Linked DNA regions of Macaca fascicularis. The protein of the gene in region 7 interacts with the protein of the main gene of each other region in a biochemical or structural test. Links are inferred from orthologs where the notes say so. Each region holds a gene or a part of one and is shown on either strand. Other genes may lie near its edges.

The links.
Region 1: the proteins of UBC (region 7) and NBR1 form a complex in vitro, tested with the Homo sapiens proteins (8 studies listed by BioGRID and IntAct, with this or other methods). The link is inferred for Macaca fascicularis from reciprocal best matches to the Homo sapiens genes UBC and NBR1.
Region 2: the proteins of UBC (region 7) and ZFAND6 form a complex in vitro, tested with the Homo sapiens proteins (6 studies listed by BioGRID, with this or other methods). The link is inferred for Macaca fascicularis from reciprocal best matches to the Homo sapiens genes UBC and ZFAND6.
Region 3: the proteins of UBC (region 7) and OTUD7A form a complex in vitro, tested with the Homo sapiens proteins (3 studies listed by BioGRID, with this or other methods). The link is inferred for Macaca fascicularis from reciprocal best matches to the Homo sapiens genes UBC and OTUD7A.
Region 4: the proteins of UBC (region 7) and ANKRD13A form a complex in vitro, tested with the Homo sapiens proteins (4 studies listed by BioGRID). The link is inferred for Macaca fascicularis from reciprocal best matches to the Homo sapiens genes UBC and ANKRD13A.
Region 5: the proteins of UBC (region 7) and TOM1L2 form a complex in vitro, tested with the Homo sapiens proteins (6 studies listed by BioGRID). The link is inferred for Macaca fascicularis from reciprocal best matches to the Homo sapiens genes UBC and TOM1L2.
Region 6: the proteins of UBC (region 7) and RABGEF1 form a complex in vitro, tested with the Homo sapiens proteins (10 studies listed by BioGRID, with this or other methods). The link is inferred for Macaca fascicularis from reciprocal best matches to the Homo sapiens genes UBC and RABGEF1.

The regions. Positions count from the first base shown.
Region 1 is NC_088390.1:64,214,555-64,218,815, reverse strand, and holds the start of NBR1 (next to BRCA1 gene 1 protein), read right to left. Parts: upstream 2,801-4,261; 5' UTR 2,382-2,800; intron 2,123-2,381; exon of another isoform or gene 2,022-2,122; intron 1-2,021. UniProt on the Homo sapiens protein: Ubiquitin-binding autophagy adapter that participates in different processes including host defense or intracellular homeostasis.
Region 2 is NC_088381.1:57,557,027-57,560,526, reverse strand, and holds part of ZFAND6 (AN1-type zinc finger protein 6), read right to left. Parts: intron 932-3,500; coding exon 818-931; intron 1-817. UniProt on the Homo sapiens protein: Involved in regulation of TNF-alpha induced NF-kappa-B activation and apoptosis. Involved in modulation of 'Lys-48'-linked polyubiquitination status of TRAF2 and decreases association of TRAF2 with RIPK1.
Region 3 is NC_088381.1:6,700,595-6,704,094, reverse strand, and holds part of OTUD7A (OTU domain-containing protein 7A), read right to left. Parts: intron 3,404-3,500; coding exon 3,276-3,403; intron 2,514-3,275; coding exon 2,401-2,513; intron 1-2,400. UniProt on the Homo sapiens protein: Deubiquitinase, which cleaves 'Lys-11'-linked polyubiquitin chains. Might be required for PA28-20S proteasome assembly.
Region 4 is NC_088385.1:116,893,887-116,897,386, reverse strand, and holds part of ANKRD13A (ankyrin repeat domain-containing protein 13A), read right to left. Parts: intron 2,925-3,500; coding exon 2,735-2,924; intron 1-2,734. UniProt on the Homo sapiens protein: Ubiquitin-binding protein that specifically recognizes and binds 'Lys-63'-linked ubiquitin. Does not bind 'Lys-48'-linked ubiquitin.
Region 5 is NC_088390.1:17,971,930-17,975,429, forward strand, and holds part of TOM1L2 (TOM1-like protein 2), read right to left. Parts: intron 3,070-3,500; coding exon 3,021-3,069; intron 2,565-3,020; coding exon 2,441-2,564; intron 1-2,440. UniProt on the Homo sapiens protein: Acts as a MYO6/Myosin VI adapter protein that targets myosin VI to endocytic structures. May also play a role in recruiting clathrin to endosomes. May regulate growth factor-induced mitogenic signaling.
Region 6 is NC_088377.1:59,759,492-59,762,991, forward strand, and holds part of RABGEF1 (rab5 GDP/GTP exchange factor), read right to left. Parts: intron 2,229-3,500; coding exon 2,062-2,228; intron 1-2,061. UniProt on the Homo sapiens protein: Rab effector protein acting as linker between gamma-adaptin, RAB4A or RAB5A. Involved in endocytic membrane fusion and membrane trafficking of recycling endosomes. Stimulates nucleotide exchange on RAB5A. Can act as a ubiquitin ligase.
Region 7 is NC_088385.1:132,077,541-132,081,533, forward strand, and holds UBC (polyubiquitin-C), read right to left. Parts: upstream 2,801-3,993; 5' UTR 2,737-2,800; intron 1,903-2,736; 5' UTR 1,900-1,902; coding exon 298-1,899; 3' UTR 230-297; downstream 1-229.

The DNA.
Region 1 (4,261 bases), on a different chromosome or scaffold from region 7:
GCACAGTGGCTCATGTCTGTAATCCCAGCACTTTGGGAAGCAGAGGCAGGCAGATCGTTTGAGTCCAGCAGTTTGAGACCAGCCTAGCCAACATAGTGAAACCTCATCTCTACAAAAATACAAAAATTAGCTGTGTGTAGTGGCGCAGGTCTGTAATCCCAGCTACTCAGGAGGCTGAGGCAGGAGAATTGCTTGAACCTGGGAGGCAAGATTGCAGTGAGCCAAGCTCATGTCACTGCACTTCCGCCTGGGTGATAGAGCTAGACTCTGTCTCAAAAATAAAATAAAATAAAAAACTGGCTAGGTGTGGTGGCTGATGCTGGTGATCCTAGCACTTAGGGAGGCTGAGGCAGAAGGATCATGAGCCTAGGAGTTCCAAGACCAGCCTGGGCAACAAAGCCAGACTCCATCTCCTTAAAAAAATTAAGTTCAATTAAACATTCTAAAAGATAATAAACCAGTCTTTAGAACCATAAACCTGTAGTGTTTTCCACAATGTAACGCACTGCCCGGTAAAACACTCCAATTAAGACTGTCATTTAAAGGACCCTGAACTCTGTCAAGATCAGGCACTTTTTTGAAACCCTAAGACAATTATCCCCCAATTTTCTCCATTCTTTGTTTCTACCAAGAACCAAGTTCACCAGCAAAATAATACTAGTCTCTTAACAACAATCCTGCTGACATCTAGTATTCATTCATACGACATGTAATTATTGGGGTCTTTAAAATTTGAACAGAACCTTTGTCAATTCCCCAAGACCTTAGGCAAAAAATCAGGGAAACGAAGTAACTCTGTCTGCCAGAAGTGGATATTCTGAAACATCACTTTCCAGCTTCAAGAAACACACTTCCCTGCTTGTGAAGGAAATGAATCTTCCTCTCTTTTTCTCAAATTACACAATTGGAAATCAATTTAGATACTCTGGAGCTCCTCCAGCTAGTGGGCCAACTAAGAGAAAACAGGAAGTCAGAGATTCTAGCTTAGCTGGATCATATCCAGGTCTTCATAAGGAACTCTCTTCCGCTGACATGTAAAAAAATTCTTTCAGCAAGAGCGTTAATCTTGAACGTGTGTAAACACCAAAGCTATGGTTAACCCTATCTCACCCTTAGGTCTAAAGCCAGTATAGTCAGATAGCTGGGTCCTAGGCCTTCAGCTTTCATAACTGGCATTATTGTAAGTCCACGCCACTGACTCACCTTTGCTTGGCACGAGTTAACTTTTCCTCCACGTCGATTTTTTTTTCACCCTCAACAAAATCCCTTTAATGAAACAGACCTGGCAACCTGAGCTTTGATTTCTGTCTCCACCAGAGGTCTGTACAAGCCAAGTTATCCAAGCTTTAAAATGTGTGATTTGAGGCTGGGAGTGGTGGCTCATGCCTGTAATACCAGCACTTTGGAAGGCCGAGGCAGGAGGATCGCTTGAGCTCAGGAGTTCACGACCAGCCTGGGCTGGTCTTTCTCTGAGAAAGCAAGACTCTGTCTCAAAAAAAAAAAAAAAAAAAAAGTGTGCTCTAAAAGCTGGGTGTTTGACAAAAAGGAAAAACAGTGCCTTTCCAAAACCGAAGGTCCCTAACCAAGGAGATCTCTTTAAGGTCTCGAAAAAAGGAGGATGGAATGAAAAGGATGTGTAAGTAGTGTCATTTTTTAACTTGCAGAGTTCATCCTAGTCTTCCAGCTATCGTTTCATAGCACTCAATGTTCCCAAGACAGTGTCACCACCCCGACTTTCTCTCGTTTTCTTTGCCCAGGCCCTCATTCCACTGGGGAGTCGCGGCCTTCCATAGGTAGAAGCCGATGTTCTGAACCACGGACTCTCCAACTCTCCGGCGCTTTTCGCCCACTCGGTCCCTCTGAACACGAAGGGCTCTCTCATCCTGTCACTAAAAACATTAACTGTCCCGAGACACGGAAAAAGTCGCCCCTCTTCTTTGCAGGATTCCTCCCTTGAACTTCCCCAAACCCTCTCAGTGTGACGTGACCCCACCCCTAAGTAACCTCAGCCGCTTCCTTACCAGCTTCCCGCCCCCGGGGGGCGCCTGCCGTAGGCCAAGGCAAGGACCGTCCGCTGCCAGCTCTGCCGCTATCCCTGTGGGGTGAATCTAACATGGCGGATAAAGACAGTAACTAGTCCCCTGTTTCGCCGAGTTTTCGCCAAGATGATTGGCTCTTACCACTTGTCCCTCAAAACGACCACCCCATCGATTGGTGGAGATTGCGTCGACGGGGCGGGGCAGAAGAAACCTGAAGCCGCACAACAATAACAAACATTGGGGCCGAGGGGCGGAACTACGAGTGCGCAGACGTGAGCCAGAGCGGATTTCCCCTTCCCTAGGCAAATTCGGCGCCTATTGCGTCCCCCGCAGGTCACTGACCTTACAGGACGACTTGCCCAAGACTCGTGGGGCTGGATGGGAATTGTAGTCTTTCTAGGAGTTGTCGGTATCTCTTTGGCCTAGTCTCTGCTCTCAAGATACGAAAACATAACAACACTCCAATCCACAACTGTTGACATGTATAAGCGCGCGGAGGTCTCCAATCTATCCACTGGATTTCCGTGAGAATTGTGCCCGCTTCGGTATTGGATGTTCCTCTCCATAAGACTACAGTTTCCAAGGAACAGCGTGGCGAAGGCCTTTCATTCCGCAACGCATGCTAGAAATAGTAGTTCTTTCCCTCCACCCCCAACAATCCTTTTATTTACCTAAACTGGAGACCTCCATTAGGGCGGAAAGAGTGGGGGAATGGGACCTCTTCCTACGACTGCTTTGAACACTATCTTACACTCATATTCAGGCCTCGGGTAGCGATTCTGATCTTTGTACAGCGATTACTGTGACGTAATAAGTCGCAACTGGAAGCGTAAAGGCGAGAGGGCGGGCGCTTTATGGCAAACTCAGGTAGAATTCTTCCTCTTCCGTCTCTTTCTTTTTACGTCACCCGGGGCAGACTGGGTGGCCAATCCAGAGCCCCGAGAGACGATAGGCTCTTTCTGTCCCGCCCTTCCTCTGTGTCTTGATTTCCTATTCTGAGAGGCTGTTGCTCAGCGGTTTCCGTGGCAACGGTAAAGCGTGGGAATTACAGGTAAATTAAAACTGTGGAACCCCTTTCCTCGCTGCCGCCAAGGTGCTCGGTCCTTCCGAGGAAGTTAAGGCCGCGTTGGGGTGGGGCCCTCACCTCTTCCGGCAACTAGCACCCCGTCTGGCGGCCCCAGCCCCACACTCGCCCGCGCCATGGCCTACGTCTCCGAGCTCGCTTGCATCTACTCTGCCTTCATTCTGCCCGACGATGAGGTGACCGTCACGGAGAGTAAGATCAATGCCCTCATTTAAGCAGCCGGTGTAAATGTTGAACATTTTTGGCCTGGCTTGTTTGCAAAGCCCCTGGCCAACGTCAACACTGGGAGCCTCATCTGCAATGTAGGAAAAACAAAAACGTGACTGAGCGGCGTGAGCTCGCTGAGACTTTCTGGACGGGGGACAGGCCGTGGGGTTTCTCAGATAACTGGGCCCCTGGGCTCAGGAGGCCTGCACCCTCTGCTCTGGGTAAAGGTAGAAGAGCCCCGGAAAAGGGACAGGGGCCCAAGAGATGCTCCGGGGGACAGGCGGGGGAGAGTGAACTTCCGAAGCAGGCAGATGGGTATTCTTTAGGCGGGGTGGGGGGCGCGGAACCTGAGAGGCGTAAGGAGTTGTGAACCCCCTGGGGAAGGGGGCAATTTGTAGGTCGCGAGGGAAGCACTAAGGATCAGGTAGGGGGCACCGTGTGTCCGAGGGGGAATCCTCGGGATAGGAACTGAAATGTGCCTTGAGGGGGACACCATGTGTATAAGAACATCAGCTGGTTGCCGGGGACGGTGCCTCATGCCTGTAATCCCAGCACTTTGAGAGGCCAAGGCGGACGGATCACGAGGTCAGGAGTTCGAGACCAGCCTGACCAACATGGTGAAACCCCGTCTCTACTAAAAATACAAAAATTACCCGGGCGTGGTGGTGCGCGCCAGCTACTCAGGAGGCTGAGGCAGGAGAATCGCTTGAACCAGGGAAGCGGAGGTTGCGGTGAGCCTAGATCGCGCCATTGCACTCCAGCCTCGGCGACAGAACAACACTGTCTCAAAAACAAACAAACAAACACCGGCTAGTATTTATGAGAGGATGGGCCCTTGCGGAAGAAGAGGTGCTAGGAATATGTCTGGGACGGGGAGGAGACAGGATTTTGTGGGAGGGAGAACTTAAGAACTGGATCCATTTGCACTATT
Region 2 (3,500 bases), on a different chromosome or scaffold from region 7:
TTCTTTATTCCTGTTGGATTGCAGTACACAACACTCTTGTTCACGTATTATGTGCTATTTAGCAACATTCCCGTTTATGGTTCCTGCACATGCCCTATTCATTTTCTTCAAGTTATTCTTTCTGCCTGAAATGCCCCTATTTCCATCAGTTATAGGTCCTACTCACTGTTCAAGACACGCTGAAACATTCTGCCTTCATGATCCTTTCCTTGCTGGGCCTCTAAGAACCACCATTTTTAATTGTAAATTAGTTACTCTCATCCCTGAATTCCCAGAGCAATGTGACTGCACTTCATGTACTTTCTTTGCTAAATGCTTTTGAACAATTCTTTCTCCTGCCCACCACCATCTGCATCTGATAGCTATGTTAATACTGATTACTTACTGTGTGGCAGCACTGGGCTGGGCTAACTGCTTACATGTCTTAACTCACTGAACCCACACAACAATGTATGGTTAGCCCTATTTTATATACAGAAAGTACTTCCAGTTTACTAAGTACTTCAAAATATTCTCTCCTTGAAAGCAAGAGACACATCTTTGACCTTTCACAGAATCTGGCACACTAACCTTACTTGTCTAATATTTCTAAATTCAACTGAAATAAACTTTAAAAAGAAAAAAAAAAGCTATTCATTTCACTTTTAGGTGTATAATCAAAGCTATTTTTATTTCCTTAAGAAAATTCAGAAGCTGAAGTATAGCCAGTATTAGCTCTCAAGGGAAAAGGAACAATCTTAATTGAAGTCAATAATAGTAAGCTATGCATTACTATAAAACAGTATCTTAATTTTAAACATTTGATTTAGGTCCTTACCAGTAAGTCCCACTTTCTTCCTGCACATGAAACAGCGATTCTTTTTTTGTTTTGGTTTTTCAAGAGACTTGCTTTGCTCTTCAGATGGCTGCTGTGCCGTGTCTGATACTGAAGCTGACAAAAATAGGAAGGTGGCAAAATTTAATTATTCTGTAAGATTTTGCTATTCCTCATCCCACCCTCCCTAGTCTATTATTTAGAGGATACTGAGGAATTAATTAGCACAGAAAACTAGTCATTTAATTACAAAGTTGTTTACAAAAATAGGACCCCTTTTTGTTAAATTTATGTATAGAAAATGCATAAATAATGTATTTCTATCTAGAAAATAATCTAGAACATGTAATGATATATTGACAGTGGTTTTATAGACTTTCTTCTTTAGGTTTTAACTGTATTTTCTTTTTTTTTTTTTTTTTTTTTTTTTTTTTTTGTTGAGACAGTCTCGCTTTGTCGCCCAGACTGGAGTGCAGTGGCCGGATCTCAGCTCACTGCAAGCTCCGCCTCCCGGGTTCACGCCATTCTCCTGCCTCAGCCTCCCGAGTAGCTGGGACTACAGACGCCCGCCACCTCGCCCGGCTAGGTTTTTGTATTTTTTAGTAGAGACGGGGTTTCACCGTGTCAGCCAGGATGGTCTCGATCTCCTGACCTTGTGATCCGCCCGTCTCGGCCTCCCAAAGTGCTGGGATTACAGGCTTGAGCCACCGCGCCCGGCTTTAACTGTATTTTCTAATTTTTCTAGTAACTACATATTTAATCAATAAAAGGCACATAAACAAATACTACTTGAATATTCTAAGGGAGTGTGCAAGAAAATAGCCATATGCATGGGTCAGAATGACATAGGTTTCTCAGAGAACAAGGAGGGAAAAGGTGAAACCAAGATTCTGTGGAATATTAAGTATGTTTAAAGTTCCCAGAATGTTTCACATAAAGCACTTTAAATGTTTGAAATAAGGCAAATTGAAGCAAAGAAGCTTTAAAATGTTGTAAGATAATAAGTTGATGCATTTATGTATGGAAACCAAAGCCAGATTTACCAAGATTCGGGTTAAATTACTACTCTGAAATCTTAACATGACTCCCTCCCGTTGCTAACCACTCTGGCCCTCATAAATGCTGCTGCGAGTCAGAATCACGTAATATGACCTTGCAGACATGTCATTTTGCTCTAAAATGGTGGAATTTGCCATGGATCAAATTCTTAACCTCTTCAGTTTCATCACCAGCCAGACTTTCCCCAGGAATCCACTCTCCATTAATCTACACTGGGAATATGCCATGTACCTTTGCTCACACTTCTTATAATCTATTCCAAAGGGTTTCCTTTTTTTCCCCCATTTGATCTAGGTCCTCTTCTTTTTCAAGATCAAGGTCAAATACCCTTTCCTTGTCTCAATTCTCTGTAGCTTCTCACTCTGATTTTCCTTAACACCTTTTCCAAACACCGGGTACCTCACGAGTTCCCTCTTCAATCCATGCTTCACACATTGCACGCAATCATCTGCCTTAAGTGAAAATCTAATGGTGTTCCCTCTGATGTTTAGAATTCTTCAATGGCTCCCAACTAACTCCCAGGATAAAGCCCAGAGGTCTTTCATGATTTTCTTCATCCTTCTTTCTCTGGCCTCATCTCTCACTATTTCTCAACGGTACCCCATGATTTAGCCATACGGAAGTACTTGCAGTTTCCCTGGACATATCAAACTCTCTTTTGCCTCTGGGCTCTTGGGTAAGTTATGCTTTCCATACAAAATACTCTTTCTATGCCCCTTCTGTCCCTCTTTTTACCAGGCTAACTCTTAACTTGTTTTTCTTGTTTAAGCTTATATAATCAGCTCTTCCTCCACTGCCTCTCCCACAACTTTGGGGTGGGAAACCCTACTACGTATAGCACTTTTCGTATTAAAATTCCCTCACTGGCTCAACCTGGTTTAACTTCGAATTCTTTGAGGGGAGACATCTGTCCTATTTATCCCATTATCAGTGCCTATCCCAGTGTTTCCAACCACATAGCAGGCACTCAACAATAAGGATCTGTTGAACTGAATTACTTACCTATATGTGCCTCATTTCCCCAACTACACTGTAAGGCCGTTGAGAAGAAGGATGGTTACCTTATTCCCCATCTGAATCTCCAGTCCCATCACAGTGAACTACACATAATACACGCTCAGACATTTACTGTGATTCTAACCTGCTTATGTTAACATCACTATCTCATATTTTAACAAAAGATGACAAAAGGCAAATACCACAAACAAGTGAATGTGCGCTAATGACAAACTCTATAGCATGTTACTCCACTCAGACATGCTGAAATCAGACAGGAGACAGTTCTAGTAATACCCTGTGAACATATTATTTTTGAAACAGAATACAGACACATCAAACCTTTTATTTTCAATGAATAAATATTCCTAGAATGTAAGCTCCAAGAGGGCAGGGGCTGAATGTCTTGTTTAATGTTTATCCCCAGCTCCTACAACAGTATCAGATAAGCCTATCTGGCTATACATACAGACTAAAAAACAGCTTAATTTGCAATCAGAAATGAAACTATTGTATTTATTGGTTTTGAAATATATAAGCCATAATATCTAACCTGTTCTCCAAAAACAGTCTGATATTCAAAAACATCCATTTAATGGCAGTAACACTATCACAAGATTATAGTTTTAAC
Region 3 (3,500 bases), on a different chromosome or scaffold from region 7:
CTATTCCCAGGAAAATGTGCATTTTATGCCTGGTTCCATAGGCCTCCCTCCTTGACTGGCCATGCAAAGGTTCCAGGTAACCCAAGGAGGCATCTGGCTACAGAAGCAACTCTCTTAGATAGATTCCTATTGCATGTGTTCTGTCCTCTTCTGAGGTGTTTTTTTTGTTTGTTTGTTTTTCCTTTTTCTTTCTCCACTGGAAACACCTGTTGCTGAAACCCTAGAAGTGCCTCCTGCATCATTGGCACAAGATTCCGACCTGAGCATCAATGCTTTTGTGGGGACCAGGTGGCTGCGTCCTCACTCCCATCACCATCTGAAGCCCAGAGTGGTGGTTTCATTTGCAGGCTGATGTGTTGCCTGAGGTTCTACAGACTCTGCTGTATTTGAGGGATTTCGTTAGGGCTGTGGAGCCTGGTCAAAAGAGGCTCTACAATGATCAGACCACATTTTGACTTTTTGGCTCCTCCATTTATCATTTTTGTGGTCTTGGAACAGTTGTCTAATCCCATTGAGGCTCGGTTTTCCAATCTGTGGAAGGCGTACTGGAGGCCTGTGAGATGGGGTTTGAAAGGAGGAGATAGAGGACCTAGCACGGGTCCCTCTTATGGTCTCCCTGACCCCACTCCACCCTACACAACCCGTGCTCACCTCCTTCCTTCTGTTTCCCCAACACCACCCATACCTTCCCACCTCACCTCTCCATTCTTTTCTGTTGGGGTCACTCCCATCCACCCTTGGTTGTTTAGTTTCCCCTCTCTGGCCATTCCCCGAGTTCTTCCTTCTCTTTTGTGATGTGGCAACCAGAACTGTGGCTTCCAGGAGGAGGGGACCAGGCTATCCTACTAAATGGGACAATGTCCGGGCCATTTTGGATATTCCTAAAGGGACCTAATCCTTTTGTTAGATTACAGTTGATCACTCAGACTCTGTGGGAGATAGGGACAGACACCAAGTGGTCCCTATGTCCCCATTAGCATCTGAATCCCTCGGGCCCCAGGGAGCAGGCAGCAGGGGACCAGGCTGTGGCCTTAGGAGTCAGATGGGTTCACCAGCCATGGGACCTTGGGGGAAGCTCCTCCTGGATGGGGGTACTCAGGAGACGTGTATGTGATGATCACCTGTGATTACTGTTATCATTGCTGCTGTCTTTCCCCACTCCTCCCCGTCCCTGGCAGAGACACCTGGACTGGATCCAGTCTGCCAGCATGTATCAGGCATCTGCCCTGTGGCAGGAGGGAGAGAGGCAACTGTGAAAACGATGTGGAGGAATGCTTAAGACTCATCACAGGCAGGACCTGGGAGGCGTGCAGAGGAAGAGCAGTTTTACAGTTGACCGAGACTTCAGAATGCTTGTCCTCAAATGTCCTACCAAGACAGGCTGTTGGTACAGAGATACCATAGCCTTAAAACATGGAGGAAGGCTGTGCCAGCGTATGTGGGTTTCTAACGATCTCATCTGTAAACATGGTCTCAGACGCCACCGCTGCTGCTGCAGCTCTGTGGGAGCCTCTTTTCCAGCCAGGGCCTCCAGGGAGAGCTGACCCATGAGGCACTAGGCCCTGCCTTGGTGGGTGGATGAGGACCCAGGTGCCTGCTGCAGGGCCCATGAGCCTGAGGGCAGCCTGGAGCTGCATGCTCCTTCCGTGGGTCTCCCTGGTGTTACTGCTCACACTTTCTCATGTTTGGCTGAGACCTTTTCTAGGAGCAACACCTTTGCTTTCAGGTTCCAGAGAATACGAACTGAAGAATAAGCCATGATCAAGGCTCTATGGCTGCCCCGTTGGTCTGGCCGCACTCTTCATTCCACGCTAGAACATCCAAGGTGTTTCTGTAGGAACAAGCTAGTCCTAAACACGCACAGACGTGGAGCCTTTTTGCTGGGAACACATATAATATCCACGGAGCTCATCTGGGAAACAGCAGGCTAGCTTAATGAGCTTCTGCTTTCAGGGTGACTTCTTGAAGCCACGAATTAATTAGTTGGGGAGAAAATCCAAACTTCAGAGCCAGGTCCGCGTGCTGGCAATGTGTGGGAACGCTCACCATCGCGTGTGACCTCCAGAGGCCAGCTGTGCCCTGAGGGCGCACACCTCACCTGCTCTGCATAACAACGTTCAAGGAAAGTGGCCTGGAGGCAGCTCATGTGAGCTCACCTCTGCCTGCATAGTGCATCTGGGGGCTGCGTACCCTTCCACCAGCACCCGGCAGGGGCCAGCCATCACCCACAGTCCTTCTGTGCATCCTTGTCTTGAAGCTAATGCTGGAAAGCTGGAATCTTTCTGTCTTCCACAGCATGAGGGTCCCACATTCCCCCCGTGCCATCCACCCATGCTGTGTGTAGCCCTGGGTGGCCTGGAGCTGGAGGGGACTTCTGGGAAGAGCAGGGGCAGAACTTACCCCCCGCCTGTGCCGCCGTTCTTGCTGAAGTGTGTGCGCGGCTCACTGGAGGCCAGCTTCAGCAGCTCCGTCCACTCCCGCTCCCACTCCTCCTCCGTGTACACCAGCCCTGACTGGCAGAGGGGAACTGGCTCAGAGGGGGGCGGGCCACAGCTGCGCTGCCCTCCTCCTCTCACCCTCCCAACCCAGACCAGCCTCACTGGGACCCAGGCCAGGCACATCTATAGGTAGCTACCAACTACACTAACTGCACCCTCTTGGCCACCTTTGCTATGCACACTATATTTTCAAAAGCTCCAAGCTCTAATTCCAGAGCTGTTGGGAATCTGCCCACCAACAAGGGTCATTCTCAGGGGCTGGGGATGACTGAGCATTAACCTGTGCATGCACCTAACTGTGGCTGGCCATTACAAAGTTTAAAGGGATAATGGATCAACTGTAGTCAGAAAGCAGGCAGATTCTTCTAGAAGAGCAAGGTCCTCATGTTTACCATGCTTGGGGACAATTGGGAATCCCTTTGGACTGACCTCACACACAGGGGCTAGAGCCATGGGCTGCACCTGACAGCAGGCGGCCATATATATAATTCATCAGCCAAGCCAGGATGCTTTTGGGAATGAAGGTAGGCAGCTTTCATAATCATGCCTTAAGGAAACACAAGTGGACGCATAGTTGCTATCTGCCGGGACTCTGCTATTTCAACAGGCTCCTCCTTCATGGGCTTAAAAGCAGGAGACTTTCCTGATCCCAGGGACTGTTTCTGCCTCCCCTCATAAGACAGTCTGGGGTCTAGGGACCACGCTCTGGACTTGACCATGGCCCGAGGCGACACCTGACCTGGGTCCCGGCCTCCGGCCATGCCAGTGGATACCAACCTCCTTATTCTGCTGCGTCTGCTGCCACCTCCACCTCCGCTTCAGGGCTTCCCTCTCGGCTCCCGTCCTCATCATGGTATAGAGAGCTTTCCGTAACACCAGGTCCCGGTCGTGAAACCCCCACATTCCTGGAGCCAGGAGGCCATGGAGAACACAGGAGAGAAAGGACGTGAGGAAAAGACAAGCCAGAGGTGATGCAAACTACCATGACCCACTGGGAGGGCC
Region 4 (3,500 bases), about 15 Mb from region 7:
AGAAGGGAAAAATTCAAACTGCAACCACAGTGTATATACTGCAGGCCAAACATTCATCAGGGCAGGGTATTAATTTGCCCACATAAGCTCTGAGTAACAGGTTAGAAAAAAGTGGACAAAAGTGACCATCAAAAAATGAGAGAGGGGGCTGGGTGTGGTGGCTCATGCCTGTAATCCCAGAACTTTGGGAGGCCAAAGTAGTCGGGTCACCTGAGGTCAGGAGTTCAATACCAGCCTGGCCAACATGGCGAAACCCCATCTCTAGGAAAATACAAAAATTAGCTGGGCACAAAGGAGGGTGCCTGTAATCCCACCTCCTCAGGAGACTGAGGTATGAGAATTGCTTGAACCCGGGAGGCGGAGGTTGCAGTGAGCCGAGATCATGCCATTGCACTCCAGGCTGGGCGACAGAGCGAGAAGCCATCTCAAAAAAAAAAAAGAAAAAAAAGAAAGAAAAGAAAATGAGAGAAGGCCACACCTTCCAAATTCAATCAAATGAATACTCACACCTCTGATCAGAAGTAAATTCACACACTCTTTGTACCAACAAACCTCACATTCAAAAGCAGCTATATTCTTTTTGTAGGTGGTATCAATTCTAAGGATTGGCTCAATTCTTGCTCAATGCATGACAAGCACACATTTAATTCTGAGCCCCATTAAAACAAAGCAGCTATCTTCCAAAAATTCTCTCAACAACACACTGTCAGTTGCAAGAGAGTTAGCTTGAGCACTCTGAAAACCCTGTGGGCTCTGGGGCTGGGCACGGTGGCTCACACCTGTAATCCCAGCACTTTGGGAGGCCGAGATGGCGGATCACGAGGTCAGGAGATCAAGACCATCCTGGTTAACACGGTGAAACCCCGCCTCTACTAAAAATACAAAAAAATTAGCCAGGTGTGGTGGCGGGTGCCTGTAGTCCCAGCTACTCCGGAGGCTGAGGCAGGAGAATGGCGTGAACCCAGGAGGTGGAGCTTGCAGTGAGCCAAGATCGCGCCACTGCACTGCAGCCTGGGCGACAGAGCTAGACTCCTTCTCAAAAAAAAAAAAAAAGAAGAAAACCCTGTGGGCGCAAAAATACAAAAATGTGCCTTAGTCCTCAGTACAAATGGAATATGCTATCATTTCCCATTTACACTCAGTGGGGTAACAGCCAGGAATTGTCACGCTCTCTTCATAAATCACACTTCAACAAACAATGACTCTGGCAACTCTGCTGTTGAACAATATGAGGAACAATGTCTCTTCTCAAGACATTTTAAGAGTCCCGGACTTTGGAGACTTCATCTCCAGATTCACTCCATTATTTCTTTCAGCTAAGGAAACAAAACTGGAGAGATGAGGCCACTTGCCCAAAGTCACACAGTTATTTAGGAGCCCTGTGGATGGCACTCAGCTCCTCCCCCTCTCATGCCTACAGATGAACAGTGGCAGAAAAGGCAGCCTCCTCTGCCTTCTGGGGTTACAAACAGAGCCCTAAGCTGAAGGGGCCCTCCCTGCCTGCAGAGGGGTACACGGAAGCCTGGAAATGTCTTTCCACAATCCTCCAAGGGAAATCCAGTCAGTCCCTAAATTTTGCTGTCCCCAAAAGACAGCGAATGTCAACTGGCCAGGCTGGTGCAAGGAGGCTGGCAGAAGAGGACTGACCCTGCCTCCAGGGATGCTACCCTCCTGCCCTAGCAACAGCCCTGGACAGATGTCCTAATTCCACCGCTCAATCTAAATTAGAAGAAAAGGATACTTAACAAGCTTTATGCTTGACTAAACAAATTTACTAACCAATTTTATATTAGAAAAAAGAAGAAAAGAAAAATATAATGAGAGGACAGTTGTTATATTCATCAAGAGAAAAGAAGGCCTAAGTCCAGGATAATAGTGTCCATTTTCTCAGGCTAAGCTACTTAGGCTGCAGAGAGCCGGATGTGGCATCCTAGGCAAATACTATCAGGATAATAGTGTCCATTTTCTCAGGCTAAGCTACTTTGACTTGCAGAAAGCTGGATGTGACATCCTAGGCAAATACCATCAGTGCTCGTAGGACTCCATCGGGTCAGTGTTCTCCACTGTAGAAACAGGCAAACAGCTTTGACAGCCTCTACTCAAAGGCCCTCTAAGCCCTCCATGTGGCCCAGAGGCACATGACCAGTGATGGTGTTCTCATCTGGATTAACCAAGGCACAGACCTCTCTGGAGAATTCTTTATGAGTCTGGAACAGAACTAAATCCCCTCCAGATTCTTGCTCTAAACCATTAAACCTCACAGGTGGGTTAAAAAAAAAAAAACCAAACGAACATTTAACTATATAGTAAGTGTGAATTTGACTGACCAATATCAGTACAACTGAACTCAGTACTGGGTCAATTCTAACCTCCAGAAACTCCAAGCTCCGTGGTCTGGGACTGAGTGTTGTGGATCCATAAACATCAAGACAAAAATAAGATTCAAGTAAAAGCCACTAGAAAGGGCACATAAAAGAAAAAGAAGACATTTATTCATATTCTTCATGTTGGTTAAGTCTTAGAAGACTTAACTAATGTGCTATAAAAATGATGGATGGTGTCGAGTGTCAGCTACAATTTCTATTGGTTAGAGATCAATCTTAAAACCCACTAGTGTTTATTATGTCATATTAGAAAAAACCCAATCCATCCATAATTTCCAATTCATACATACATGTCACTCAAGATGGCAGCATGGGGATTAGACCTTAAAATTTAGAGTCTAAATTTGTACCTTTCAAAAGCAATATTTTTAGTATCGAGGCTGGTGTTAATGACTGGGCTTGTAAGCCGCCTCTCAACTTCCCTGCTTTTTGGCTTCATCAAGTCCAGAGTGAGGCGCTCCATTTCTTGGGAAAGGTCGAAGTGTTCGGTGGTGACTACTTTGTCGTCGTGGTTGACTTCCATCAACTCTGCCCAGTTGTCTATTAATGGAAACAAAGACATAACTAAGCACAAAGCAGGGAAGATGCAAAAAACAAGGAAGCTTCGTATGTTAAAATGCATCATCTTTCATGTGTGTCCTCCCAGGTGCTATCTGATAAAACGTACAGTATACTGATTATTGACTACCTATTTGCACCTATCTGACCAGCTTTCCACCATACATAGGAAGCTCTGAGCCATCTTCCCCAAAGATGCGGAATTTTTAAATAATTTGTATTCTTATTAGCACTATATTCCATCAATGTCCTTTATAAAACATATTATTACAGAATTCATAGAAATTATGTATGCACAACATTGGGTGAGCAATGCCATTTCTCATGCCTGATTATGGAGGGTTATACAGAGATACACACAGAATGCCTGTGCTCAAAGGCTCAGGAAAGTGAAGCAGACACATCACAAGGGTAACTTCTGGGTGGTAAAGGACACATGAAGGAGAACTAGCCAGACAAGAACAAAGACAGGGATGGAGAGCTGAATAATTAATAAGAATAACCAAAAAACATGCCCTAGAAAAGATCAGACAGAAAAGGCACATGAATGTGAAAGCA
Region 5 (3,500 bases), on a different chromosome or scaffold from region 7:
TTTTTTGAGACGGAGTCTTGCTCTGTCACCCAGGCTGGAGTGCAGTGGCCAGATCTCGGCTCACTGCAAGCTCTGCCTCCCGGGTTCAGGCCATTCTTCTGCCTCAGCCTCCCGAGTAGCTGGGACTACAGGCGCCCGCCACCTCGCCCGGCTAGTTTTTTGTGTTTTTTTTTGTTTGTTTGTTTGTTTTTTTTTTGAGACGGAGTCTCACTGTGTCGCCCAGGCTGGAGTGCAGTGGCCGGATCTCAGCTCACTGCAAGCTCTGCCTCCCGGGTTTTTACGCCATTCTCCTGCCTCAGCCTCCCGAGTAGCCGGGACTACAGGCGCCCGCCACCTCGCCCGGCTAGTTTTTTGTATTTTTTAGTAGAGACGGGGTTTCACGGTGTTAGCCAGGATGGTCTCGATCTCCTGACCTCATGATCCACCCGTCTCGGCCTCCCAAAGTGCTGGGATTACAGGCTTGAGCCACCGCACCCGGCCGAGAAATATTTTTTAAAAAGGAAAGCAGAAAACAAGACAGAGGAAAGAATTTTGAGGGCTGTGCTTATTCTTTCAATGTTATAATTTCATTTGTTATAAATTGGTATCATTCAGTATAACCAATGCGCTAGAGTCATATACACACTTTGAATGTACAAACTAAATGAACTGTGGAAAGTAGAAAGTGGTGAGTTTCTTTTAAGTTCCAGACAATGGACTGCTTTAGGCTGATGGTACAGTTCAAGGAGAGCAAATATTTCAGTGCTGCTACCTCCTGTTTCCAAGCCCTCTGTAGATATCAACAATCAATCACAGACTTTTCTTTTTTTTTTTTTTGAGACGGAGTCTCGCTCTGTCGCTCGGGCTGGAGTGCAGTGGCCGGATCTCAGCTCACTGCAAGCTCCGCCTCCCGGGTTCACGCTATTCTCCTGCCTCAGCCTCCCGAGTAGCTGGGACTACAGGCGCCCGCCACGTCGCCCGGCTAGTTTTTTTTTTTTTTTTGTATTTTTTAGTAGAGACGGGGTTTCACCGTGTTAGCCAGGATGGTCTCGATCTCCTGACCTCGTGATCCGCCCGTCTCGGCCTCCCAAAGTGCTGGGATTACAGGCTTGAGCCACCGCGCCCGGCCAATCACAGACTTTTCTAAGCCCTGATGTGGCTTCAGCATCCTCCTCAAACCTGTGTTCCAAGAAGCCAGTGAGCTGAAACCTATCTGCCCTCCTTGACCTAGTTAATATTGATTGTTTGGTTTTTTTTGTTTTTTTGTTTTTTTGTTTTTTTTTTTTGAGACGGAGTCTCACGCTGTTGCCCAGGCTGGAGTGCAGTGGCGCGATCTCGGCTCACTGCAAGCTCCGCCTCCTGGGTTCACGCCATTCTCCTGCCTCAGCCTCCTGAGTAGCTAGGACTATAGGCGCCCGCCACCGCGCCCGGCTAATTTTTTGTATTTTTAGTAGAGACGGGGTTTCACTGTGGTCTCGATCTCCTGACCTTGTGATCCGCCCGCCTCGCCCTCCCAAAGTGCTGGGATTACAGGCTTGAGCCACCGCGCCCGGCTTTGTTTTGTTTTTGAGATGGAGTCGTCCCCCAGGCTGGAGTGCAATGGCGCGATCTCAGCTCACTGCAACCTCAGCCTCCGGGGTTCAAGCAATTCTCCTGCCTCAGCCGCCCAAGTAGCTGGGACTACAGGTACCCACCACTAAGTCTGGCTAATTTTTTTGTATCTTCAGTAGAGACAGGGTTTCACTACTTTGGCCAAGCTGGTCTCGAACTCCTGGCCTCAAGTGACCCACCAACCTCAGCCTCCCAAAATGCTGGGATTATAAGCCCGGGCTTGACCTAGTTAATACTGAAAAGGAAATTACTTCAATCATAGAGAATGTTCCATATAAAACATGGCAGGTGACCTTTCTTTTCTTTTTTTTTTTTTTGAGACAGTGTCTTGCTCTGTCGCCCAGGCTGGAGTACAATGACGCGCGATCTCAGCTCACTGCAACCTCCACCTCCCAGGCTCAAGCAATTCTCCTGCCTCAGCCTTCCAAGTAGTTGGAATTGCAGGCACTCACCATGCCCAGCTAATTTTTGTATTTTTACTAGAGACTGGTTTCGCCACGTTGGTCAGGCTGGTCTCAAACTCCTGACCTCAGGTGATCCACCCACCTCGGCCTCCCATAGTGCTGGGATTACAGGTATGAGCCGCCACACCCGGCCGTGACCTTTCTTTAATTCCTTGAAATTTCCCCCATCCCTGCTTTCCAACACAGATTTTAAACTTCAAATTTAGGGGAAAAAAAGGTATGCATTGAAGGTAAGGTGGTACAACTGGCTAGGACTCAGGAATACACTTTCACATGTATTCCCAAAAGACTCTCTTTGGGTCTTCCAAGAAAGAAAGAGAGGTAGCCTGCAAGGGAGGCCAGTGGTAGGAAGTAAGTAGGCCCTTTTGTCCCTATGAGACACTCACCCAAGCCTGCAAGCTGGGAGGAGAGGGAAGATGGGGGCGCTGTGTTCCCCACCATCGGGCTCACCACGGCTGGAGACCCTGGCCCCAGGTCTATTAAGTTGTCTTCAGTCACTTCGTTCAGTACCTGTCAGAATGTGAGATTGGTCATGAGCCCCAGAACCCTGGAGTCAGGCTCTGAGGTAGAAGCTAGCAAGGCAACTGTGCAGGGTTCTGAGAAGAAAAGCATCGGCACTGCTCCAGTACAGAAGCAAGGTCACTTTCCCCATCTGCCTTCCGGGTCCATGGTGGCCCTTGATGTCAGTGAGCCCTGCCCACTGCCTCTTCCCCCTCCCCAGTAGAAGGAGGGGTTGCTGAGTCAACAGTGACTGTCCTGGGAGCTACAGACTTAAGAGCTTCCTTGCCACCCTCCCATCAGGGGTGCCTGCTAGCTCTGCCCTAGTATCCCATCAACCAAAGCTTGCTCTTCAATTTCCCAAATATTTCAACCCCAGTTAGAAAAACTGGAGGTCTCTCCAACCTCCAAAACGTGGAGGGGTAGGTCTGGCCTCAGGAGATGAGAGGATTCTGAAGGAATACTTACTCCATTACTGGCATTTTGAACCGATCGGCCAGACCTGTATCGTTCGAACCTAACGGGGGAAGGGAAAGCAGAAGTAAGGAGAGAGGATGCCTGTGATATGGGCCTGTGGGGTGCTCACTAGTCCTATGAAGAACCTCTGGGACCAAGACCAGCCAGTCCTAGTTGGGGGCTAGGGAGTGAAACCATATATCAACTCTGCCACGGCTTCCTCTGTGTGTGTGGCTCCCCCTGAGAGGATCAGCCTCTCACCCAGAACCCTGAATGGGCATCAGAAAGGGGTGGTGGCTGGCCCATCATGGAGGTCATTGTGAGTGTCCCCAGCCTCTCCTCACATACCTGGGCCCAGAGAGCTCCTCTTGTCCCTGGAGGGAGGATGGCTTAACCACCTTACCTTGGAGCTCTCCAATGTTTACAACGTCAGGCAGTAGCTGCAGACTCCCTACTTCACAGGGCTGTGTTGAGAAGCGCCCAGCTAGTGTT
Region 6 (3,500 bases), on a different chromosome or scaffold from region 7:
GCTGGGACTACAGGCGCCCGCCACCTCGCCCGGCTAGTTTTTTGTATTTTTTTTAGTAGAGACGGAGTTTCACTGTGTTCGCCAGGATGGTCTCGATCTCCTGACCTTGTGATCCGCCCGTCTCGGCCTCCCAAAGTGCTGGGATTACAGGCTTGAGCCACTGCGCCCAGCCAATTTTATAATTTTTAAAATTATTTTATCTGCTATAAATACTTATTTCACTACATATCATCAAGAAACAGACCTTAAGCTAAATAGGAATGAGTAGTCTTAATAGTAAATGCCTTTGTGCTCCCTGCAAGATTATTCTATCAGAAGAACAACTTCCATTTTAAAATAGCTAACACTTACTGGAAATCTACTGTGTGTGTCGGGCACTGTGCTAAGCTCTTAACGCGCATTAACTCACTGAACCCTCATCACATGCCTCTGGTAGGTATTACTGTCCCTCACTGTTGACAGGACTCGGAGTCGTTAGTCCACCCAGGGTCACAAAGCTGGTAAATGACAAAGTTAGGACTCAAACCAGGGGTGATTCCAAAGTCACCTTACTAACCATCTGTCTATTCCACCTCCTAATAAATAAATCATGAGCCCAATACATTCTTATTTAATCTCTGGCAGGAACTAATTTTTTTGCTCGTTTTTCATAGAGACAAAATTGCTACAACTGGCAGCCAACCAAGAAACAACTTCAAATTCATCATATAATCCATCTTTTTTCTTTTCTTTCCTTTTTTTAGACAGGATCTTGCTCTGTCACCCAGGCTGGAGTGCAATGGCACCATTTTGGCTCACTGCAACCTCCACCTCCTGGGTTCAAATGATTCTCCTGCCTTAGCCTCCTGGCCTCAGCTGGGACTACAGGCATATGCCACTGTGCCTGGATGATTTTTCTATTTTTTGTAGAGACGGGGTTTTCTATTTTTTGTAGAGACGGGGTTTTATGTTGCCCAGGCTGGTCTCAAAAACTCCTGAGCTCAGGAAATCCATCTGTCCTGGCCTCCCAAAGTGCTGAGATTATAGGCTTGAGCTGCCGCACCAGGCCTGGTATCCATGTCTTAAAGAGAAGCGTGTTTTTGGTTATAAGCAATATTTCCTTTTAATAAAACAAAAGGAAACAGCAAAAGTCACAAAACCTAGAAGACCGGCAAGGATCTTAAGGGGTAACACTGTCTTATTTTTCATTCCGTTGCCTCCAGGAGAGAAGACCTCATTACAATTACCCCAGGGCAGGAACCGGGGAGCAAGTGAGGGGGCTCCCAGAGAACAGGTCTTCTGACAGCATCAGTGGTGGTTCCCAGTCTCCCTCATTATTTCACGCTGACTGCATAACTCTGAGTAACAACATACATTTTCAGAGACCGAGGCCTCACAACAAAGATTCTTTCCTGCTTCATGTTGGGCCACTTCAACTGGCTAGGCTGCTCAATCGTAGAACAACTGTGACTTACGTGACAATCCTCTTGCTGGTTACATGGCATTTTAAGAAGCAGGGTGAATATGATCACCTACATACAAACCCATGCACTGGAAAATAGCTACTACAGCTCACTCTCATCCCCCCAGGAGCCCAACGTGGGCCTTTTCCTATATTTTCTCAATACACTTTCTCAAGACACAAGTTGTCTCTCAAATAAGCTCTCGAGCAGAAAATCTCTCTCAGATGACTTTCAAGCCTAGAAATCACCATTTCTGACAAGCTGTGAACAGTGAGGGTATTACACCACAGAACAAACCAGGATCCACAAATAAAGACACAAAAAAACAAAACATCCAAAGAGACAGTCATTTGGATGGGGATGACTTTCATAAACAAAACTACCTATTTCAATTCTCTTTATTCCTCCTATAAACAAATTTCTCTAAAACACAATGTCTTTCAACCAAAGAGAGTATTGGTTTCATATATTGTCTGACCCTCAAACCCACTTTCAGTCTCAAATCTGAGCTGATGTTCTCAAAAAGTTGACAGAAATTACAACCTGAGCCTGTGAGCATTGTGGATCTACTCTGTGTCTCACTCAGGCAGAGAAGAAAAAAAGAGTATCAGAACATTACCCTTCTTTGATCCGACCCTGGAAGACGCACTGAAGAATTTCTTCACTGTGGTAACCTTGCGGGTCTTCTCGTTGGTTTTCTTTTCTTCAAACTTGGAGAATGTGAGGGATTGGGCCCCTTGGCTGCTCTGACTGCTGGCAAAGGCCTCTTCTTCCTCCCGCTGGAGTCTGCAATTCAAGAAAGGATTAGAATGATCTAGATATTCTCTAAGGTTTCTCTTTATCTGAAGGTTATTACTCCACTAATTCAGGAGGATCTCAAGATTTTAGAACTAGAGACTAAATATACTAAATCAGCCTGAGGTCTCACATAGCTACAGGATGGACTGCTCTTCATGCACTACAGATTTCAAATGGGATCTTCTCATGCTCATTCAGCAATTGCTCTAGGGCTACATGAAAGAAATCAAGTCTACTCCTTTTCCCTAACAAGCTCAAGGCTGGAACAGAGAAAAAGGTAAGTAAACAACTGCTACATAATGGGACAGCTGCTACATTAGAGAGTAAAAATTGAGTGCTGTGAGAACACAGGAAAGAACAACTCAATCTGCTGGGGGAGTCTGTTGGGGCCTTACAACACTGATGTTTGGGCTGGGTCTTAAAGGATAAATAGGATCCTTTTTTTTGGGTTGTTTTTGAGACACAGTGTCACTCCATCGCCCAGGCTGGGGTGAGATGGTACGATCTCGGCTCATTACAACCTCTGCCTCCTGAGTTCAAGCGATTCTCACGCCTCAGCCTTCCAAGTTATTGAGACTACAGGCGCACACCACCACGCCTGACTAATAAGGCCGAATAGTATTCTAAGTGAAAGGATATTCCAAGAAGGAGGAACTACAAATGTGCAAACCTGTGGTTTGCTTCACAACAAGCTGAATGTAGCCAGAGCACTGGGTGTGTAATGAATGGTGATGCTGGATACACAGGAAGGCACCAGAGGGTAAGGAATCTTGATTGCTAAGCCCACATTCTGGATTTCATCATGTGGTGGGGAAGCAAGAAAAACTGTAAATCCGGCCGGGCGCGGTGGCTCAAGCCTGTAATCCCAGCACTTTGGGAGGCCGAGGCGGGCGGATCACGAGGTCAGGAGATCGAGACCACAGTGAAACCCCGTCTCTACTAAAAATACAAAAAATTAGCCGGGCGCGGTGGCGGGCGCCTGTAGTCCCAGCTACTCAGGAGGCTGAGGCAGGAGAATGGCGGGAACCCGGGAGGCGGAGCTTGCAGTGAGCCAAGATCGCGCCACTGCACTCCAGCCTGGGCAACAGCGTGAGACTCCGTCTCAAAAAAAAAAAAAAAAGAAAGAAAAACTGTAAATCCAAGAAGTTATCGTTGTCAGATCTGTGCTTTAGAAAGATCATGCAGGTAGCTGTGTGAACAACTTGAAGGGTAGAGAAACTAGAGACAGGGACAAGAAGTAAGAGTATATTACAAAGGTTT
Region 7 (3,993 bases):
ACACCTGCCTTTTTGTATTTGCAGTAGACATAGGGTTTCACCACATTGGCCAATCTGGTCTTGAAGCCGGCTTTTATTTGCACCCACCTTCTACAGTTCGTACTATATTAAGGTCAACCCCTTCACTGACATTTCACTGTTACCACAGCAACATTTGTAAACTGAAAACCTTGATCCCCTTCACCCAGTCTAATGCAAAATAACCTTAACTTTTAAAAAACCACACCAGTTGGGAATGCAACAACTTTATTGAAAGAAAAGTGCAATGAAATTTGTTGAAACCTTAAAAGGGGAAACTTAGACACCCCCCCTCAAGCGCAGGACCAAGTGCAGAGTGGACTCTTTCTGGATGTTGTAGTCAGACAGGGTGCGTCCATCTTCCAGCTGTTTCCCAGCAAAGATCAACCTCTGCTGGTCAGGAGGGATGCCTTCCTTGTCCTGGATCTTTGCCTTGACATTCTCAATGGTGTCGCTGGGCTCCACCTCAAGGGTGATGGTCTTGCCAGTGAGGGTCTTCACGAAGATCTGCATCCCACCTCTGAGGCGGAGCACCAGGTGCAGGGTGGACTCTTTCTGGATGTTGTAGTCAGACAGGGTGCGCCCATCTTCCAGCTGTTTCCCAGCAAAGATCAACCTCTGCTGGTCAGGAGGGATGCCTTCCTTGTCCTGGATCTTTGCCTTGACATTCTCAATGGTGTCGCTGGGCTCCACCTCAAGGGTGATGGTCTTGCCAGTGAGGGTCTTCACGAAGATCTGCATCCCACCTCTGAGGCGGAGCACCAGGTGCAGGGTGGACTCTTTCTGGATGTTGTAGTCAGACAGGGTGCGCCCATCTTCCAGCTGTTTCCCAGCAAAGATCAACCTCTGCTGGTCAGGAGGGATGCCTTCCTTATCCTGGATCTTTGCCTTGACATTCTCAATGGTGTCGCTGGGCTCCACCTCGAGGGTGATGGTCTTGCCAGTCAGGGTCTTCACGAATATCTGCATCCCACCTCTGAGACGGAGCACGAGGTGCAGGGTGGACTCTTTCTGGATGTTGTAGTCAGACAGGGTGCGCCCATCTTCCAGCTGCTTTCCAGCAAAGATCAACCTCTGCTGGTCAGGAGGGATGCCCTCCTTGTCCTGGATCTTTGCCTTGACATTTTCAATAGTGTCACTGGGCTCCACCTCAAGGGTGATGGTCTTGCCAGTCAGGGTCTTCACGAAGATCTGCATCCCACCTCTGAGACGGAGCACCAGGTGCAGGGTGGACTCTTTCTGGATGTTGTAGTCAGACAGGGTGCGCCCATCTTCCAGCTGTTTCCCAGCAAAGATCAACCTCTGCTGGTCAGGAGGGATGCCTTCCTTGTCCTGGATCTTTGCCTTGACATTCTCGATGGTGTCACTGGGCTCCACCTCGAGGGTGATGGTCTTGCCAGTGAGGGTCTTCACGAAGATCTGCATCCCACCTCTGAGGCGGAGCACCAGGTGCAGGGTAGACTCTTTCTGGATGTTGTAGTCAGACAGGGTGCGTCCATCTTCCAGCTGTTTCCCGGCAAAGATCAACCTCTGCTGGTCAGGAGGGATGCCTTCCTTGTCTTGGATCTTTGCTTTGACGTTCTCGATGGTGTCACTGGGCTCGACCTCGAGGGTGATGGTCTTGCCAGTCAGGGTCTTCACGAAGATCTGCATCCCACCTCTGAGGCGGAGCACGAGGTGCAGGGTGGACTCTTTCTGGATGTTGTAGTCAGACAGGGTGCGCCCATCTTCCAGCTGCTTTCCGGCAAAGATCAGCCTCTGCTGGTCGGGAGGAATGCCTTCCTTATCTTGGATCTTTGCCTTGACATTCTCAATGGTGTCACTGGGCTCAACCTCAAGGGTGATGGTCTTGCCAGTCAGGGTCTTCACGAAGATCTGCATTGTCTAACAAAAGAGCCAAAAACCACCAGCATTTAGCAGACAATGTACTAATCTTCCTAATACTTAAACTATATGTTATATTCACCCAAATGATTACAATTTAAAAGATACCTAAGAAACTTCACAAAATACACTCGCCAACCCCGAACGCATAGTTTAAAACTCAGACTTCAGCTACTTAAGAAAATAGGAACATAGAACTGACCAAAGAAACTGACGCCTCACTTATCCCTCCCCTCACCAGAGGTCAGGCCCCTGTCGACTCAGGAGGGCCTACCCTAGGCCCCAACCCTGCGTCCTGCGACGAAGAAAAGCCTACTGCACACCTACCGGCAGGTGGCCCCACCCCACATTATGAGCCAACAGAACGGATGACGTCACGACACTGCGAGGGCGCGCGCTCCTCAAGCTACGGGTGCACTGCCAAGTGGCACCGCCATTAACTGCCGCCCCCGCAACAGACGACAAAGCGAGTTCTCCGGTCAGTGACAGACTTCACATCAAGGTCCCCAAATGGTGCCCCAGCCCACCTCACCAGAATAAGAGCGTTCCCGCATTAGCGAAAACCTCAAGGCCTTGGGTTCTTGCCGCAAACCATGCCCCCCACCTTGTTTCAACAACCTCACAGCCCGCCTCACAACCGTCTTCCATTCAAGAGCCGGGAACAGCCGCCATTTTGCTGCGCTCCCCTCCCACCCGCTGCTCGGGGCACCTTGCTCGCGGACCCAGACTACAGCCCTCGGCGGCCTCTCATCCCGCGGCGTCGGCCCCCCTCCATCCCACCGAGCGGCCCAGCGGCCACGAAAGCCATGGCCGGCCCAGCAGCCCTCTGCTCACCAAGTGGCGATGACACCGACACACAAACAAGAACTGCGATCCCACTCCCGGCTGCGACGGAACTAGCTGCGCCACACCCGGCGCGTCCTTATATAGTCATCGGCGTTCACCGCCCCAAGGAAATTCCTCCGCAGAATCGCCGAGAAGGGACTACTTTTGCTCGCCCGTTCCGGTCTCTGGAAAGAAAACCAGTGCCCTACAGTCACCCAAGTCCCGTCCCAAAATGTCCTCCTGCTGAGACTGGGGTTCTGGGACTGAGTCTGGTGGGCAGCGGGCCGCCGTCCTGAGCGCCCAAGCGGAAGAATCAGGGCGCTCGCTGCGCCCTGCGGCCATGACGTGGAGGCGCTCGCCGAGAGGAGGGGGCGTCCGCGGGAGGCGCCAAAACCCGGTGCGGACTCTGCGGCGCCAGGAGCGGGTGGGCAGCCCGCGTTCCTCAGCCGCGGCCCCTCCCCTCAGCCCCCGCGGTCCCCTCGGGTCGCGAACCCCGCGTTCGGCGGACGTGGGGCGCGGACGGAGCGCCTCCCGCAGAGTCGGGGTCTCCCTCCCCTCCCTCGCGACCCGCCCTGGCCCACCCCGCGAGACGGACGGGTCTTTATTTTTGGGTCACATTTGAGATAATGACGGGGCTTTCTTTGCTCAGCCCCCCTCAGTCTTCCTGAGCTTCCCAGCCCGGTCGCGGGGGCTCCCCGGTGCCGCGCCCCTCCCCCGCTGCGGGCCGCGGGACAAGGACAATGACTCAGCAGATCTCAGGCCGGGCGCGGCCCTAAAGCTGGGGAACGCTCGAGAACTTTCGAGGGGAGACACTGCAGAGGAGCTGGTGTCCAGGTTAAATTTGGAAAAGTGAGGGGGAAACCCCACACAGTTTTTTTTTTTTAGCTGGAACCCAAGGCTGAGGGAACGACATCCTTCTAGACTGTTCTTTCACCTTCGTGTACATTCTGAGGGCCGGGTATGGAAAGGTCCTACTTGGTTTCAACAGGGAGGCCTAGAAATTTCTCTGGTTTCAATGGGTACGATTATTGTAATCAGGATCCATTCAATAATCGGACCCATTTAAACCGAAGGTTTTAAAAGACAGGAATAGAATCCCAGCCCTATTTCAGGGCAGGGTAGGGTGTCAAATATGAAATGTAATTCTACAGGGCAATTCTATTTTGATAAAAGAAGTGGGGAGAAAAGAATCACCAGCCAGGTTTTTAAATTTTTACCACAACCTATTTTGTGATCCTTATGTGTCATTTCTTCAGTATATTTTTA